Linked DNA regions of Rhinolophus ferrumequinum. The protein of the gene in region 1 purifies or fractionates together with the protein of each later gene. This does not show direct contact. Links are inferred from orthologs where the notes say so. Each region holds a gene or a part of one and is shown on either strand. Other genes may lie near its edges.

Region 1 (7,294 bases):
TTCTCAGTATTTTATGTGGCTGAAAGACCTGAAACCCCACAACAAACCAAGGAAGAAGGCACTATTATCAGCCCCATTTTACAGATGAGGACATTGAGGCCCAAGGTCCCACACCTTCATTGGCAAGGTGGGGATACAAACCCAGGTAGTCTGGCTCCAATGCCAGGACTTTGGGCCCTGCAGGGGAGACACAGCAGCGAGCAAAAGTGGACACTGTCCATTCCCTCATCGAATTTATAGTCTAGAGGTTCACCAACTAAAGAAACAAATGAACAATCACATTTAAAATTTAAAAATTTTCTAAGCAAAGTAAGCTAAATGGGCCAGCCCCCATCATGGTTGATCAAACAGAACTGTGATATTTTCATATTTTGAATAGACTAGTTTCTAATTGTAAAGTAAAATATTCTCAAGCAAGTCCTTGGCCTCAGAAATGAAAGGCAAATATAAGACAATAATAGCTAACACTTATTGAGCATTTACCAGGAGCCAGGTGTTGTTCAAATACCTATAACTATTAACTTATTTAATGTTCTCAATGACCCTGTGCTTTGGTCACTACTGTCATCATCATTTCCATCTTACAGGTGAGGAAACAGATGCCCAGAAGGGTTGCCATCCAGGAAGCAGTGCCAGGACTCTAATCCAGGCAACCAAGCAATGACACTCACTTTTTATCTGGCAATCAGCACTACTGGGCATTAGTATAACTGGTAATTTTCAGACTAGGTCTTTTGCAGGCCAAGTGGACTCTGCACCACCAAACAATTGATGTCAAAATAAATGACATCAATTACCCAAAATGCACAATCATAACAGTAGTAGCTAACACTAATAGAGTATTTGCAATGTGCCAGGTATTGTTCTAAGTGCTTAAGATATGTGACCTCACTTAATCCTCACAAATACTCTATAAGAGCATATTTATACTATTATCCTCATTTTACAGATGAGGAAATTGAGGCACAGAAAAGTTCCTAAGAGGGAGATTTTAAGGTGTATTCTTATCATTATTCCTCTACTTTATACATAGTTTAGAGCTCATAAGGCACTTTCAGGTGGAAAATACAAGATGAGGGCTATGAAATATAGGGCGCTGGGTGAGAGATGAAGGTGGTTGTCTGCTTTAGGCTGGGGTTGAGACCTGAGGGATGAGGAGACTGCAACAAACAGCCCAGACAGAGAACTCACCAAACACAAAGGCTAGGAGGAGGGAAAGACCTTGGCGCCTCAGGAAAACAGACAGGACAGTGTGAGTGGACCTTTGTGAGAGGGTGAATGAGAGAGGTACCGCCAGACAGGTGGGCAGGGGCCACTTGCTCAGGGCCTTTCAGCCAGGAGTAGGTGATAAAATCAAAGTGCAGCAGGAAGCAGAAACAAGATCTACTAGCAGCTATCATGTATCCACCCTTTATCTGGACTCTGCTAGGCAAGTCATATTCACAATTTCATTTCATCTCCCTGCAACTCCATGGTACGGTTGTTGTTATCTCCATGTTATAAAAGCAGACTTTGTGGCTCAGGGAGCTGGAGAACAATTTTTTAAATTGTTGCTGTGCTAATGGAATTCCCTCTACGTACCTACTCTAAAATAGTCTCCAAAATTTCTATGTCTCAGGACTTAGGGAACTATTCTGTATGCCCTCCCCTCCAGGCAGCGCTGCTGAGATTTTACAAATATTACATCCGCTCCATAATTTTGGATGGCAATATGGAATAAGAATCCCACCTTGGTAAGAGAGATGGCAGGGGGTAAGGAAAGGAGGGATACATACAGGTGAGGGACAGTTGGGGCAAATAGGCCTCAGGACCCTAAAGACCCAGCGGGGGCGAGGTCAACAAAAGTGGAAGGGCCCAGAAAGAAGTCTAAAGACAAGCGATACACACGCAGGAAGGCGGGACTAGGAGGTGATTAGAACTAAAATACACTCCGAAAGATGGGACTAGGGAGGAACCCAGAAATGCTCCAAGGGCTAAAGGTGGGGCCAGAGATTGAGAGGTGGGACTAGGAATGACGGACAGTACCTGAGAGAATGAGACGGAAAGTGGGAGGAGCCTTGACCAAAGGGGCGGGGCTTATAGATGAGGCGGGTCCAGAGAGCAGCCTGAGGGGAAAAGCCAGGAGCTGATAGGCGGAGCCAAAGATCTAAGGGCAGGACCAGGAGAGGGCAGGACAAGCAGCTCCTTACCCGGTTCTGCACCGTGTCTTCGGGTGCCGCCGGGAGTCGCGTCCGCCGCCGGTGGCAGAGCGCTGGAGCGGGGGGCGGGGAGGACTGGCCCCTCCGCGCCGGAACTCCCGCCATGACGGATGACAGCTTCTCGACTTCATCGTTCCGCGCGTAGCCCCCGGAGCCCAAGGCCGCCATCGTCGTACCGGAGCCGGGCGACCGTTACTCATCCACCGCCGCCGCCAAGACCTACTCGAATAACGAACAGCCGCGGGAAAACCGGCGCTGCCGCCCATTGGATGCGGTAGCCGCTGGTCTGGCCAATCTCAGGGCTGCCGGGTGGCGCTTTTGACCAATGAGGGCTAAGAGGCGGAAAGGCGTGTCTGGCGGGGAGGAGCCACAATTAGTATATTTGATGCTTGACCAAGCATGGTGGCGTTTTTTTATCCAGTCTGTGTTTTCATCATTCACTGAAACATACTGGTTTTAACTTTTACGTGACTAAGACCAAAGCCGCCTCATCTCGCTTTTTGCTGCTGCCCCCGGGTGACTATACGCGCAGTGGCAGTCTCCCGGATGTAAATGTAGGGTGGAGCCGAAAGAGACTGACGATTTGGCGCTGGCTCAGAAACGCCGTGACGCCACCTCTCCCCAAACCTGTGACAAAGTACGGGTGGCTAGAAGAAGACGTATTCGTTTTCCCCCACTCACCACGTGACCAGGGCGTAGCTGTGGCAAGGCGGCAGGCCGGATAGTACGCAGGCGCTCTCGACCCTCCCGCGGCACGTGACGAGGCACCCAGCTCCTCACATGAAGCAGGAGGAGAGCGCGCGGGCGGGGCGGGTTCGGTGGCTCCCGGCGACGACCAAAGTGTGGCTGCAGACCGTGCAAAACTCAACGGGGCTGGACAGCCATGCCCAAGTACTGCTGGGCTCCGAACTGCTCCAACACTGCCGGCCGACTGGGCGCCGACAACCGCCCTGTGAGCTTCTACAAGTGAGCGCAAGTGCGGGGCGGGGCGTGCAGGGAGGCGGGGCCTGTAGGGGGCGGGGCCCGATAATAAATGCAGCTGTTCTCGCACCTGGTCCAGCTTTCAGGCCTCTAGAGCAGGGTTAGCAGGGTGAAGAGACGGTATTTTCAGCATTTCATCAGTAAGCATCGCACATACAAAGGTGCTAATATGGGAAATAGGCAGAGAACGGGGCGAGCGGAAAACGGGGAGTGCTGTGTAGGGAGAAGTGAGGTTGGTCCAGGCTTTGTAAGAGCCTACAACTGCCCAAGGGCCAGCTCCACGAATTTGAGCCATCTCAAACTCAAAACTTCGGAAACCAAATTCCTGATCTTGCCTCCTCCCAAACCTTCCACAACCTTTCCTATCTTAGTTAATAGCTTACTCCAACCTTCCTGTAGTTCAGGCTAGAAACCTTAAAATCATCCTTACCTATTCTCTTTCCCCACACTTGAGAAAGTAAAAATTAGTTTGAACTGTAAAAAAATCGGCCTTCCCATTTATTTGGCTGTAATAATAGACAGGGGAAAAAGCCAGATGAAGAGTTAATAGGAAAAAAATATTTCTATATTTTTCTCAGGGACATGCTGCAGATGTAAAGTGACACAACTTCCCTTCTTTGAGTGACTACTGCTTTCTTACTCACTAGGAAACTTTATTCTCTAAAATCATAGACTATCACAAACTTTGCTGTTTGAAGTTATATCAGTAAGAATTGAACATCTCACTTATAACGCCTGGAGGAGTTAAGTCACTTTGACATAGAGAAGCAGCCTCGATTTACAATCCAGGTGCAGAGCTTCAGGTAAGGCGTTGCTGGACACAGTGTTCCACAACTATATACACTTGATTGCTTCCTGGTGGACAGGACCTTGGGCCCACTTCACAATCCAGACTTAATATTGATCCCTCTGCGCACAGTTCTACTTTGCTTTGAGCCTATCCACTTTTATTTATATCTCATCTAAGTTTCACCCTTTCCCCAAACCCAAATAATACTTCTGTTGTTTTCCTTTGTTTGGTGAGACTGCCAACATGCAGTCACAGGGATCTGATAAACACCTGAGACAGATCACGGTCCTCCTCTCTGCTCAGATCCCTCCCCTGGCTCCCACTTCACGCTATAAAAGACAAGAAGATGAGGCTGGAGCAGGCAGGAAGCAGGCCTATTAAGCCCTACAGGAACTGGATCCCCAATATCTGTATGACCTCATGTCCCTCCTGCCCCTTACTCTGCTCCAGTGTCATTGGCCTACTCGATGCTCTTCTAGCACTCCAGGCACATTGTTGCCCTAAGGCCTTTGCCTGTGCTGTGCCTTCTGTGTGGAAAATTCTTCCCTTTATGACCATCACTCTATGTAAAATGATAACCCTCTCCCAGATCCATACATATTCTCCCTATCTGCCTCCTGCTCTATTTTTCCCTTTACACTTATCACTGTTTGGCAAGCCACCTATTTGATGTATTCATTTATTGTCTTCCTCCACTAGAATGTCAGCTCCATGAAGGTAGGGATTTTTGTCTGTCTTATTCTCTGTTGTGTCCCTCTGCACCAAGAACTGTGCCTGGCACATAGAGGGTGCTCAGTAAATATTTGTTGGATGAATTCAATGAATGCATTTCAGATGGACTCCCCAGGAAACCCAACAGTACAAATGCCTTGAGGGACCCTGGTACAGGGTAGGAGGATTGCATATGAGTCTTTAAACCTAAATCACTGTGTCCAGACTTGCTTTTTAAAATATATCATTCTGGCACCATTTGTTAATTCAGCAACTCTGAGTGTCTCCCTGGAGAAAGCAAGCTCCTGCAGGACACAAAGGACCCTGACAGATTTTGTTCCTGCCCTGACAGAGCTCATGGAAAGGTGAGGGGTCAAAATTGAAGAAATGAATACACAATCTGGACATCATCCATAAGCCTTTCTTTTCTTTAGCACCATTGCCCCCAATTTAGTCCATTATCCCATCCTTTTACTCTACCCTTTGGACACATTCCCATCCTGCAAAAATCACAACAAAACCCCTAACACCTTGGCAACGCAGTTATAAACACAAATAGGAAACTCCTAACTAAACTAGTAGGAAATAAGGAAAATAAAAACACTTTCCCAGTCTGACCACTTCTTGTCACCTCTGCTGTCACAGCATAGTTCAGTCTGCCATCATCTCTTAACGAAACACTGTGATAACTGCTTGCTGGTTTCCCTGCTTCCACTCTTGCCTCCCTTACAACAACAACTTAGACGCACTCACTGTATGCCAGGCACTATTCTAAGTGTTTCACATATAATAGGAAGGAGAACAATGATAACGATACATAGTAGCCAGATGACTTTATAAAAATCAATTTATGTCTGTGTTATTTAAGTCCCACCAATGACTGTCAGGCTGTTCCTCACACAGGCTAGTCCATTTCCACCTCAAGGCCCACCCCTGAGTCAGTTTTACAGAAGTCACTTAGCTAATAGTTGGGTGAAGAGCAGTTTCTAAAGGAGATTCAGGAGAGGGCATGGATGCTACGTAGGAACAAGGTGAAACATATCAGGGAAAGTGGCTGCCAGGGAATAACTTAAACTGCCCAGCAGCCAAAGGAAACATTAGTTCTGTTTTAGGCCCTTCAAGAACAAGTGACAGTCATCTCTAATCAGGGGGTATCATTTAGGAATTGTATCTGGTTGGCAGTAACAGAGTCCTGAAATAATAGTGGCTTAAACAAACGGGGTATGTAGAAATCAGCATGGTTAAGTTATGTTGTAGTAACAAACTCACAAAATCTCAGTGACTACTACAACAAAGGTTTATTTCTTGCTCACACTATGCCCTTTACAGGTCATTTGTAGCCCTACTCTATACTATCTTAATTGTGGACTCAGGCTGAAGAAGCCGCCCCTATGTGGAATATTGCTAGGGAGAAGAGCAAGTGGGGAGAATCACCCAATGGCTCCTGGTAAATTGTATATTTAGAAATGACCCACGTCAGTTGCACTCTGTCGGCCAAAATAAGTTTATGGTAAGCCTGCTCCTCACCCAACTCTTAGCTAAGTGGCTTGTGCAAGACTGACTCAGGCATGGGCCTTGAGATGGAAATGAACTAGCCTTTGTGAGGAAAAGCCTGACAGCCATTGGTGCAACTTAACACACAGACATAAACTGATTTTTATAAAGTCATCTGGCTACTATGTACAGTTGCCATAGGGTCTATGAACAGGGTCAGTGGAGTGGAAATGTGTAATTTTCAAATGGGGATGGGAGCAAATATTTTGAATAATACTACAGTCTACCTACCACAGGGTTGATTTTTCTCTCATATAAAACAAGTACAGAGATTGGCAGACCATCACTGGTGTAGAGGCTTTCACAGTCATCAGGGATGAGGGTCCTGTCTTCCTGCTCTATCATCTTAGCAGGTAGCTTCCATTCAAGATGGCTGCCAGTGCCCCAGCCATTGTGCCCTACCATTCCTGGTAGGAAGAAAAGGAAAGGGAAGAAGAGCAAAAGGGACTCAACTCTAAACTGAGTCAGTCCCCTTTACAAAGTCTTCCCAGAAACCCCACCCAGTGTTGGGTTCTTTGTCATTGATCACCCCCAACTGCAAAGGAGGCTGGGAAATGTAGTCTTTTAGCTGAGCATTTAATCACCCTGAAGAAATTTTGAGTTAACATTACTAAGGAAGGAAAGATCTTCTAGCACTGTATGCCACTTCATGCTCTAGATAAGATGACCAACAAGACCGAGGCTGAAGGGACTGCAGCCGCTGTGGGCCCTGCTATTCTGGTCTTTGGGTGCCACAGCTCTTCTCTGAATCAGCCCTTCTGTCGTCTTTCACCAGCTGCCCCCCACCTGCCCTCTCTGTCTCCCTTTTGCCTGAGAATTCTTGCTCTGGCCCCCATTTCTGTCCATCCCATCCACCTCATTCCCACTGGTGACCTCTTTAGGTTTTTTTTGTGTCCTTCCCAGTGTTTCTTTATGCAAATACAAGCAAATCTGAATATATGTTTTTATTTCCCCCTTTATTACTGTACTAGTTTCCTGTGGCTGCTATAACAAACTTGGTGGCTTAAAACAGGAATTATTCTCTCAGTCTATACCAGTTTTACTGGGCCAAAATCAAGGG
Region 2 (7,756 bases), on another chromosome or scaffold:
CTGCTTTTGTTATACTTCCTGTGTAATTTGCAACTGTACGGATATTTTAGTTGGCAACTTAGTATCATGCTATCTGTTAGATATTTATTAGGATAGCTTAACACTGCTAGTGTTCACCACAGAAAAGAAAAAACATCATTACTCACTAATTAAAATAGAAAAAATTATTTTTCAGAAATACATTTTGTTGAATTAAAAACATGTTGACAACTTTATACATAGACAGTATTCAGTACCAGATGAGTAATATTTGATTACTATCAGATGTAACAATAAAACAAATTTTTTTTCCAGTGATAAAAGGAAACAAAAACCTGATACTTGGAACAAATAAATCACTATGCAGAGAATTTTTTTTATACCATCTTGATATTTGTATCAAAAGGCATAATGTATAATAATTTATATATTTTATAGTATAAATTTCATCATTCTAATGCTAAGATAAAAAAACATGTAGATGGTTATTTCCATACAAAATCATTTTAGAACACCACAAAATTTACCAGTAAAATACATTTTAAGTTTGATTTAACATAATTGCACATACTGAATTTAATTACAGATTATTTTTAAGTTGAAATTCAGAGAAACATTAATAAATTGTTTTAAAAGTCTATTAAAATGCTATGTAGGATAAAAATGATAAGAACAAGAAAGGACTTTATGGCAAAATCAACTCAATAAAAAACATAAATTTAATTTTGATAAAAAGTTCCAAGTTATTTCTCAAAAGGTAAATTCTCGTTTAAGTTTAATATAATCCATTAATCAAAGAAAAATGGACTTCATAGTTTCTTGTTATGTGGCAATTTTTAACAGAGTTTATAGACCTGATCATACTATAAACTACTTCTGAATATCCGGAAATAATATTAAAATATGGTTTCTAATAAGTAGTAGGGAAAAATAATCCATTTCTCTTTTTATGAAAAGCCCATGTTATAGTATCTTTTCCTATAACAGTAAGTTAATTCATAAAACTAAAGTTTCACTTCAGTAGAATTACTATTTTTACTTTACAAAGAAAAGGATTAGATTAATACAACTGGGGTGTCAATGAACTTGATTGTTTGTCACAGACAAGCAAAGAGACTGTAGAGCAGCTTTCCGTAAATGTCCACAGGGTAGGGGGCTACTGGAAGGAGCACTCCGCAGCACACACCTTGGTTTTATTTGGCTTTGCCTTTCATTAGCAGTTTGGCTTGGACGGACAGTTACCTTTCCAAATTTTAGTTATCTTCCTCTGTCTCTGTCAAGTGCACTTAGTCTCTTCAGTTTTAAAAGACCCTAATTATGCAATATCTATAAAGTTAGGAAGAACAAAAAGCAACCCTCATATAACTCAAAAAAATAATAATAATGCAGAACATACAAAACGGTTTGTAACTTGCAATGTAATATTTCCAGAGCTGAATTCGTAAATCTTTGAAGCATGTCCAGCTAGGATTCTATCAGTAAAGACTTGGATACTGTATTCATAATGGAACTCTCTCCTCTCACATTATTCCTCCACCTGCTCCTCCCCTCCCTGCTTCATTCCTCCTTTTAAAACCAGCAAACGGTTGGAAACATTGGAAGCTTCAGGATCAAATCATTTTAAAAGATGCATCTTCAATCAAGTGTATCACCTGCTTCCCCACATTTCTCTCTAACGGGAGTGAATTTTCACAAAGAGAATACAAGCATGAATAAAACTAAGCAGAAATGGACCAGGTCTGTTTTTTGTTTGCTTCGATTGCTTAAATACACAAAACGGCAAGACGGAGCCTTAGCTATTCCCGTAGGAACGTGAATGCATTTACCCACCCAATGAAAAAACAATCCTGCTGCTTCACTTCCCTGCTACACAATAGCTTCGTCGTCAGGCCCTTCCTAGTCCAGGCTTCATCGTCATCTAGCAATTTTATATTGATCACTTTGGCAATGCTTGCACAGGCACTGTCCGTGTCTTCCAGGAGCTTTCATTCTTCAAATAAATAACAGTCTACTCAACACCGAAAAATAGAGATTCTACAAATTCCACGTCTTCCCGCCCAGTGTTAGGCAGCGCTCATAATTTTCCCCCTTGGGGAATAACACGAAGGGAACCGTACCCACACCCCACGTTTGAATCTCAGGACAATGAAACCGACAGGAAGCCACGCTCTGCTCCCGGGGGCTGACTCCCGAGCCAAAGCTCCCGCGGGGTCCGGTCGCCTGGCAGGGTGCGTGACACCACGTCTTCCACGCCCTCCGAGCGCGTCCGAAAGGCTCCTCGCCTGACCTCCCGCCAACCACCCCACAGCCCAGAACCAACCACAAAAAAGGATCGGCGCTGTTAGCTGCTCCCAGCCGGGGAAACAGCACTTCCCCAGCGGCAGCGCGGCCATTCCCTCCGCGCCCCTCGCGCTGCCACGGCGGATGGGGGAGGGCTGCACAAAGCCCCGAGAGAGCTGAAATGATTCCGTACGTTCCGGCGAAGGGGCGGAGGCGGCCACGGGCCGGGAAAGCCGCGGCCGCAGCACCGAAGGGCCGGCGGGTGGGGGTGGGGTGAGGGTGGGGTGGGGAGACGAGGGCTGGCCCGGCCGAGCCCCCGGCCGGTGCGTGGGGGTGGCGGCGCCGCGAGGAGCATCCGGGAAGCGCCCCCGGCCCCGCCCGGCCCCGCACCCTAGCCCCGCCGCAGATCGCGGCCCGAGCCCCCGCTGCAAACCCAAGGAAGAGGATGTGGAAAGTGGCCGCGACGGGATCGGCAGCGCCTAACCCAGCAGTTGAGCGCATCACTTACCCCTCACCGCGGAGAGAGGGACCGGACGGGGGAGGCGGGGCGCGTCGCGTCCCGTGAGTCTCTCGCACGCCGTCCTCCCCCCACACTGTCGTCGTCGTTGCCGCTGTCGTCGTCGTCGTCGTCGTCCCGGCCGCTGTGATCGAGCTCCCGGCCCCTCAGCTCCGCTGGGCACTAACGTTATTCCACACACGCCCCACACATAGCGGTAACGGCAAAGAGCGGCCGCCTAATGCGCAGGCGCTTGGAGAAAGGGCGAGCAGCCCGGCCCTACCCCCTTCCCGGCTCAGTCCCAACGATCGCTTACTGCGCAGGCGCCAAAAACAGACAATGAAAAGGGGCTGTGCAGAGGGTCTCGCCGCAGGGTTTTACAGCTGCCTACTGCGCAGGCGTGCCTCAAAGACCAGCTTGAACAATGAGGAGGACCCCAACTTTAGCAGGGACGGCTACCAACGAGGACTACCGTTCCCAGCGGGCAGTGCGCCAACCCCAAGTGGAGGTCGGGTGGCTGGGCATGCTAGGATTTGTAGTGTCAGCCGCCTTTCACAATCTAGGCTCTTTGGAATATTTAGAGCGTATTTCTCTTGAGAATTTGTCTGTTTTGGCAAATGTCGTGGCTGAAGAGTGTTGAGCTTGTTATTTGCGTCCTTGAAAATCTTCAAGAATCGACTGCATATTAGCAAATTGCTTAGAAAAGTCAAGGCCTTCTGCGAGCCCTTTCTGTCATTTTGGGTGGTCCAAACAGTAGGATGGGATGAAGGCAGGACTAAATCAGGAAAAGGGCGGAGCTTCCGAGCAGTCTCTTGGCAACCGGATCCGGCCACCAAACGGCCTGAGCTGGCTCTGGGAGCGCAGTGCCCTCTGGGAATTGTAGTGTAGTCAGAAGGTCTCAGAAACTTGGACACTGCAGGCTCGGAGTCTGAGAACCACAACTCCCGTCATCCACCAAGAGGGCTAGTAGGGGGGAAGAACCCCCGCGAGCCCGGTCCGGGGTTCCATGCTCCCCATTGACAGCAGCGGCAGGAAGCTGGCGGGTCCACCCGGGGCGCTAAGGCCTCCTGTTCTCGGAGGGGAGAACATTGGACTATTCCCCACGTAACTCCCATCTCTGATCCTGAGTCTGTACATGGCGAAGTCCCCGGAGAACTCTACCCTGGAGGAGATTCTGGGGCATTATCGACGGAGTCTCCGGGGTGAGTTGCTCCGAACCTCCGTGCCCCGTGGTACCAGGGCCTAGTGGGCGGGAGCTGACTAGGTGTGTTTCCTATCACCTTGGTTCGGCCTCAGCCAGGATGCAGAGGAAGAAGATGGATGTTGCTGTTGAAGGATGTTTTTGAGGAAGAATGAGATCGTTTGTGTTTTTACTGTTAACCATTAGTGTTTCCCTGGTTCCCTTACTACCTGAACCAACTCTCTGATCTTGATTTAGGCATCTTTCTCACCCAGCGCCAGCAGAACCTGTTGAACGGCTCTATGCCACTTTTGCACATTTCCCATACTTTGCTCTTTAATGAGTTCCTGCTACACACTATTTACACATTCACAGTACGGTGTAGTGGATTGAATGATTTATTGGACCAGGAAAAGAAAGCACTAATAATTATTTTAATCACAACAGCTCTATTTAGTGCTCTAGGCTATTTACATACATTATATCATTTAAAACTTAAAACAACCTTATAAATATCCCTATTTTACACATGGGGAAATAAATGGAGGTGCAAAGACGATAAATCAGGACAAAGCCCACACAGCTGCTTAGTGGCAGAGACAAATCTTAAAGTCAGTCAGGCCTGTCTTAAAAGCCTATATTTTTCTTTATGAATCCTGTCACAATTACTATTACTTACTAAAACCATATTTAGTTAATTCAGATTTTTTTTTTTAGTATGGCACCATATGAATGAGTATCTATAGAACTGAAGATTGTATTCTGTCACCTTGGACATATATAACATTTAAAAACCTTAGTTCTGTTCCCCCCCCCTCACTATTTCCCCTTCTTTTTAGCTCCTGTAAACCTCTGTTTTACTTTCTGTCTCTATCAATTTGCCTATTCTAGGTACCCCATCTAAGTGAAATCATACAATATTTTTTCTTTGATATCTGGCTTATTTTACTTAGCATATGCCTTCAAATTTCATTCATATAAAAGTGTCTTTGTGTGTAATGAGATGGCTGGTGTCTGAGAGCCCCTAGGCAGCTTCAGGATTGGGGCCGGTCGCTAGAAAGACCCAGCCACAATTACAGGGTTGGAACTTTCAGCCCCATTCCCTAGTCTCCATAGAGGGGAGAATGTGGAGATTGCGTTAGTCACTAATCTAATCGTATTTATGTAATGAAACCTCCATAATACCCTCCAAACAACAGGGTTCAGAGAGCTTCCCAGTTGGTGAACCCATCCATGCGCAGGGATGGCGATGCACCCAGAGAGGGCTTGGAAGCTCTGCACCCCATCCCCATGTCTCACCTATGCATCTCTTCCATGTGGCTGTTCTTGATTTGTACCCCTTTATAATGAACCAGTAATAGTAAATAAAGTGCTTTCCTGAGTTCTGTGAGTCATTTTAACAAACAGTAGAGCCAAGGAGGGGGTTGTAGGAACCCTTTGAATTTATAGCCAATCAGTCAGAAGTACTAGTGATAACCTGGGACTCGTGACTGGCATCCGAAGTGGAGGTAGTCTTGCGGGCCTGAACCCTTCAGTTGTGGAAGCCCTCTTTGGGTGCATTGCCATGCCAGCACATGGATGCAGTCACCAACTGGGAAGCTCCAGTTCTGTTATTTTAAAGTGGAAGTTACGGTGTCGTCTACAGGGTTGTTGTGAGAAGCAAATGAAATAATCCATATAAAGCAATAATTTTGAGACTTTCTTTTTTTTTTCTTTTTACTGTCACTCATCAGTAAAAATACATTTTATATGGGACAAATACGTAAACTAAAAGAAAAGTTTCATTAAAAAATACTAAATGTAATGCACTCTATTTTCTCTTCTGTTGCATTTTCTTAACCCTCTAGGTCATGACCAACAGTTTTAAAAAATTATGTAAAGCATTTAGAACACTGATTCACTTATTAATTGAGTGCCTACTGTGTGTTAGGCATACTAGGTCCTGGAGATACATAAGGAACTAGACAAAGTCCCTGTCCCCTTGGAGCCTCTGGATTCGTGGAGGAGAAAGACAATAAACAAAATAATTACAGATTACTAGGAAAGACAATAAGGGTAAAGATCAGTGGTTGGCATATAAGAAGCACTAATTAAATGTTAGCTGCTATTTATAATTGGTACCTGCAACAAAGGGAAGGTTTTTCAAGAAGATTAGAAAGTTTATTTTCAAGTGACTCTAGATTTTGTAAGAGTTATTATTTATTGTTCCCACCTGTCAGCAGTGTTACAAACTGTCAACACTGTGAGTATTCAAACTGCAAGAGTAAAATAATTGGTCTTAATGAATATCTTCATCATCCTAGTGATGTTTCAAGAACTTTTAGATACAGAAATAACCACTTCTAACTTTCATTTGAAAGCAAGAAAAATACTGTGCACAATGATAATGTGAGTGATTCTGTTTAATTTTTGAGGTTGGCAAAAAATTTTTGTTTTCCATTATAAGTATCTCCTAATGTTCTTCCTTCTTTGACCTTATTTTGAACTTTTATGTAAGTATTAGAGGCCATTTAATATTAGGCATTTTGATGCAATGGTTAATTTAAACTAATGTTAGAGTACTACTGTGTTTAATACCCATGATAATGCTTTCAGTAATTACAAAGTGAAGAGTTTTTATTCAAAGCTAATACATTTTAAAATAAGTTTTAAATTTAGTGTGCTAACAATGTGATAGTGAAAACATTTATAATCAAGAGCAGACAAAGCAGAGAAAAAAGTTTACTTTAAAAAAAAATGTTTAGTGACCATTTTAACAATGAATCAAGAAATGGAACCTGATTTTTCATGGGTTTCCAGGACTTATTTTATTATTTATTTAGTAGCATTGTTTATTTTTACATTTATTTAGTTTATATAACAGCTCATGGACGGAAACAAAACAAAGCGAACTTTGAAGGGAAGCACAGTCAGAAGTTCTTCACTCCATACATATAAATTACCCCCTTTTAAGTAGGATAATTCCTTTTAAAGTCAACATTTGTGTTTCAGAACAAAGTATGGTGGCATTATTTTATATGTAGAACTTCATTTTGAGTGTTTGTGCCTAATAACTTGAAATTGTGTTCTATACAATCAGACAAAATGCAATTTAAAGTTTCTTTGCTTTGTTTTGTTGGTTTGTTTGGTTTTGTCTATCTGCCATTACTTCCCCAAAATGTCTTGCCTAGTTCTTGTTTAGAGAAAAGGCTGATAAGCATTTGTAGTCTTTCCTCACAGGTTACTCCTCTGGTTTTTAAATACCTATACCTGTAATCATTATTTGTATACCTTCATTTATATTCAGACAGCAAGTAACCACATAAAAATGCAAAATGCTTTCACAAGTTTCCATTTTTTATAGCTTTGCCTCATTTCTTCACTTTAAATATAATTTTCGGTATTACAGTATATTAAGAATTTGAAATTCTGATGTGAAAGCGGAGTCAAAGTTCACTTTCTTGCTTTTAAAACCTGAGTGTACGTCTTGCCTCTCCTTGACTCTGATGAGCCCAGAGCAGCCATGGAAATAGAGAGCCCATTTCACACTCCACCCTCACGTCTTATCCTTTCCCTTACACTTTTCAGATATATTCATTGTTTGCCCCCTGTAAGGATATCTCCTGCTTTTGGTTGTCTATGCCCCCGCTGCAAGAAATTGGGCAGGTTTAATGACATTCCTTCAAAGTTAGAGTTCTGACATAAAAATTAAAAGACCTCATTACCCCAAAATCTGTAATATTATCCCTCCACGGTAGATGATATGAAAGTTTCCAGTGGGGTAATAAGTGAGCATATTCCAAGTATCCTGGGAATCACAGAGCTTAACATAGAACTGGAAG

Evidence for each region. The genes of interacting proteins can lie anywhere in the genome.
Region 2: the proteins of WDR62 (region 1) and CEP170 purify together in Homo sapiens (affinity purification with mass spectrometry; 3 studies listed by BioGRID and IntAct, with this or other methods). This does not show direct contact. The link is inferred for Rhinolophus ferrumequinum from reciprocal best matches to the Homo sapiens genes WDR62 and CEP170.

The regions. Positions count from the first base shown.
Region 1 is NC_046298.1:36,319,260-36,326,553, reverse strand, and holds the start of WDR62 (WD repeat-containing protein 62), read right to left. Parts: upstream 3,002-7,294; 5' UTR 2,880-3,001; intron 2,552-2,879; exon of another isoform or gene 2,418-2,551; 5' UTR 2,367-2,417; coding exon 2,190-2,366; intron 1-2,189. Other genes in the region: THAP8 (THAP domain-containing protein 8), read left to right, coding at 3,082-3,164. UniProt on the Homo sapiens protein: Required for cerebral cortical development. Plays a role in neuronal proliferation and migration.
Region 2 is NC_046310.1:17,589,303-17,597,058, reverse strand, and holds the start of CEP170 (centrosomal protein of 170 kDa), read right to left. Parts: upstream 3,007-7,756; 5' UTR 2,768-3,006; intron 1-2,767. Other genes in the region: SDCCAG8 (serologically defined colon cancer antigen 8), read left to right, coding at 3,891-3,957.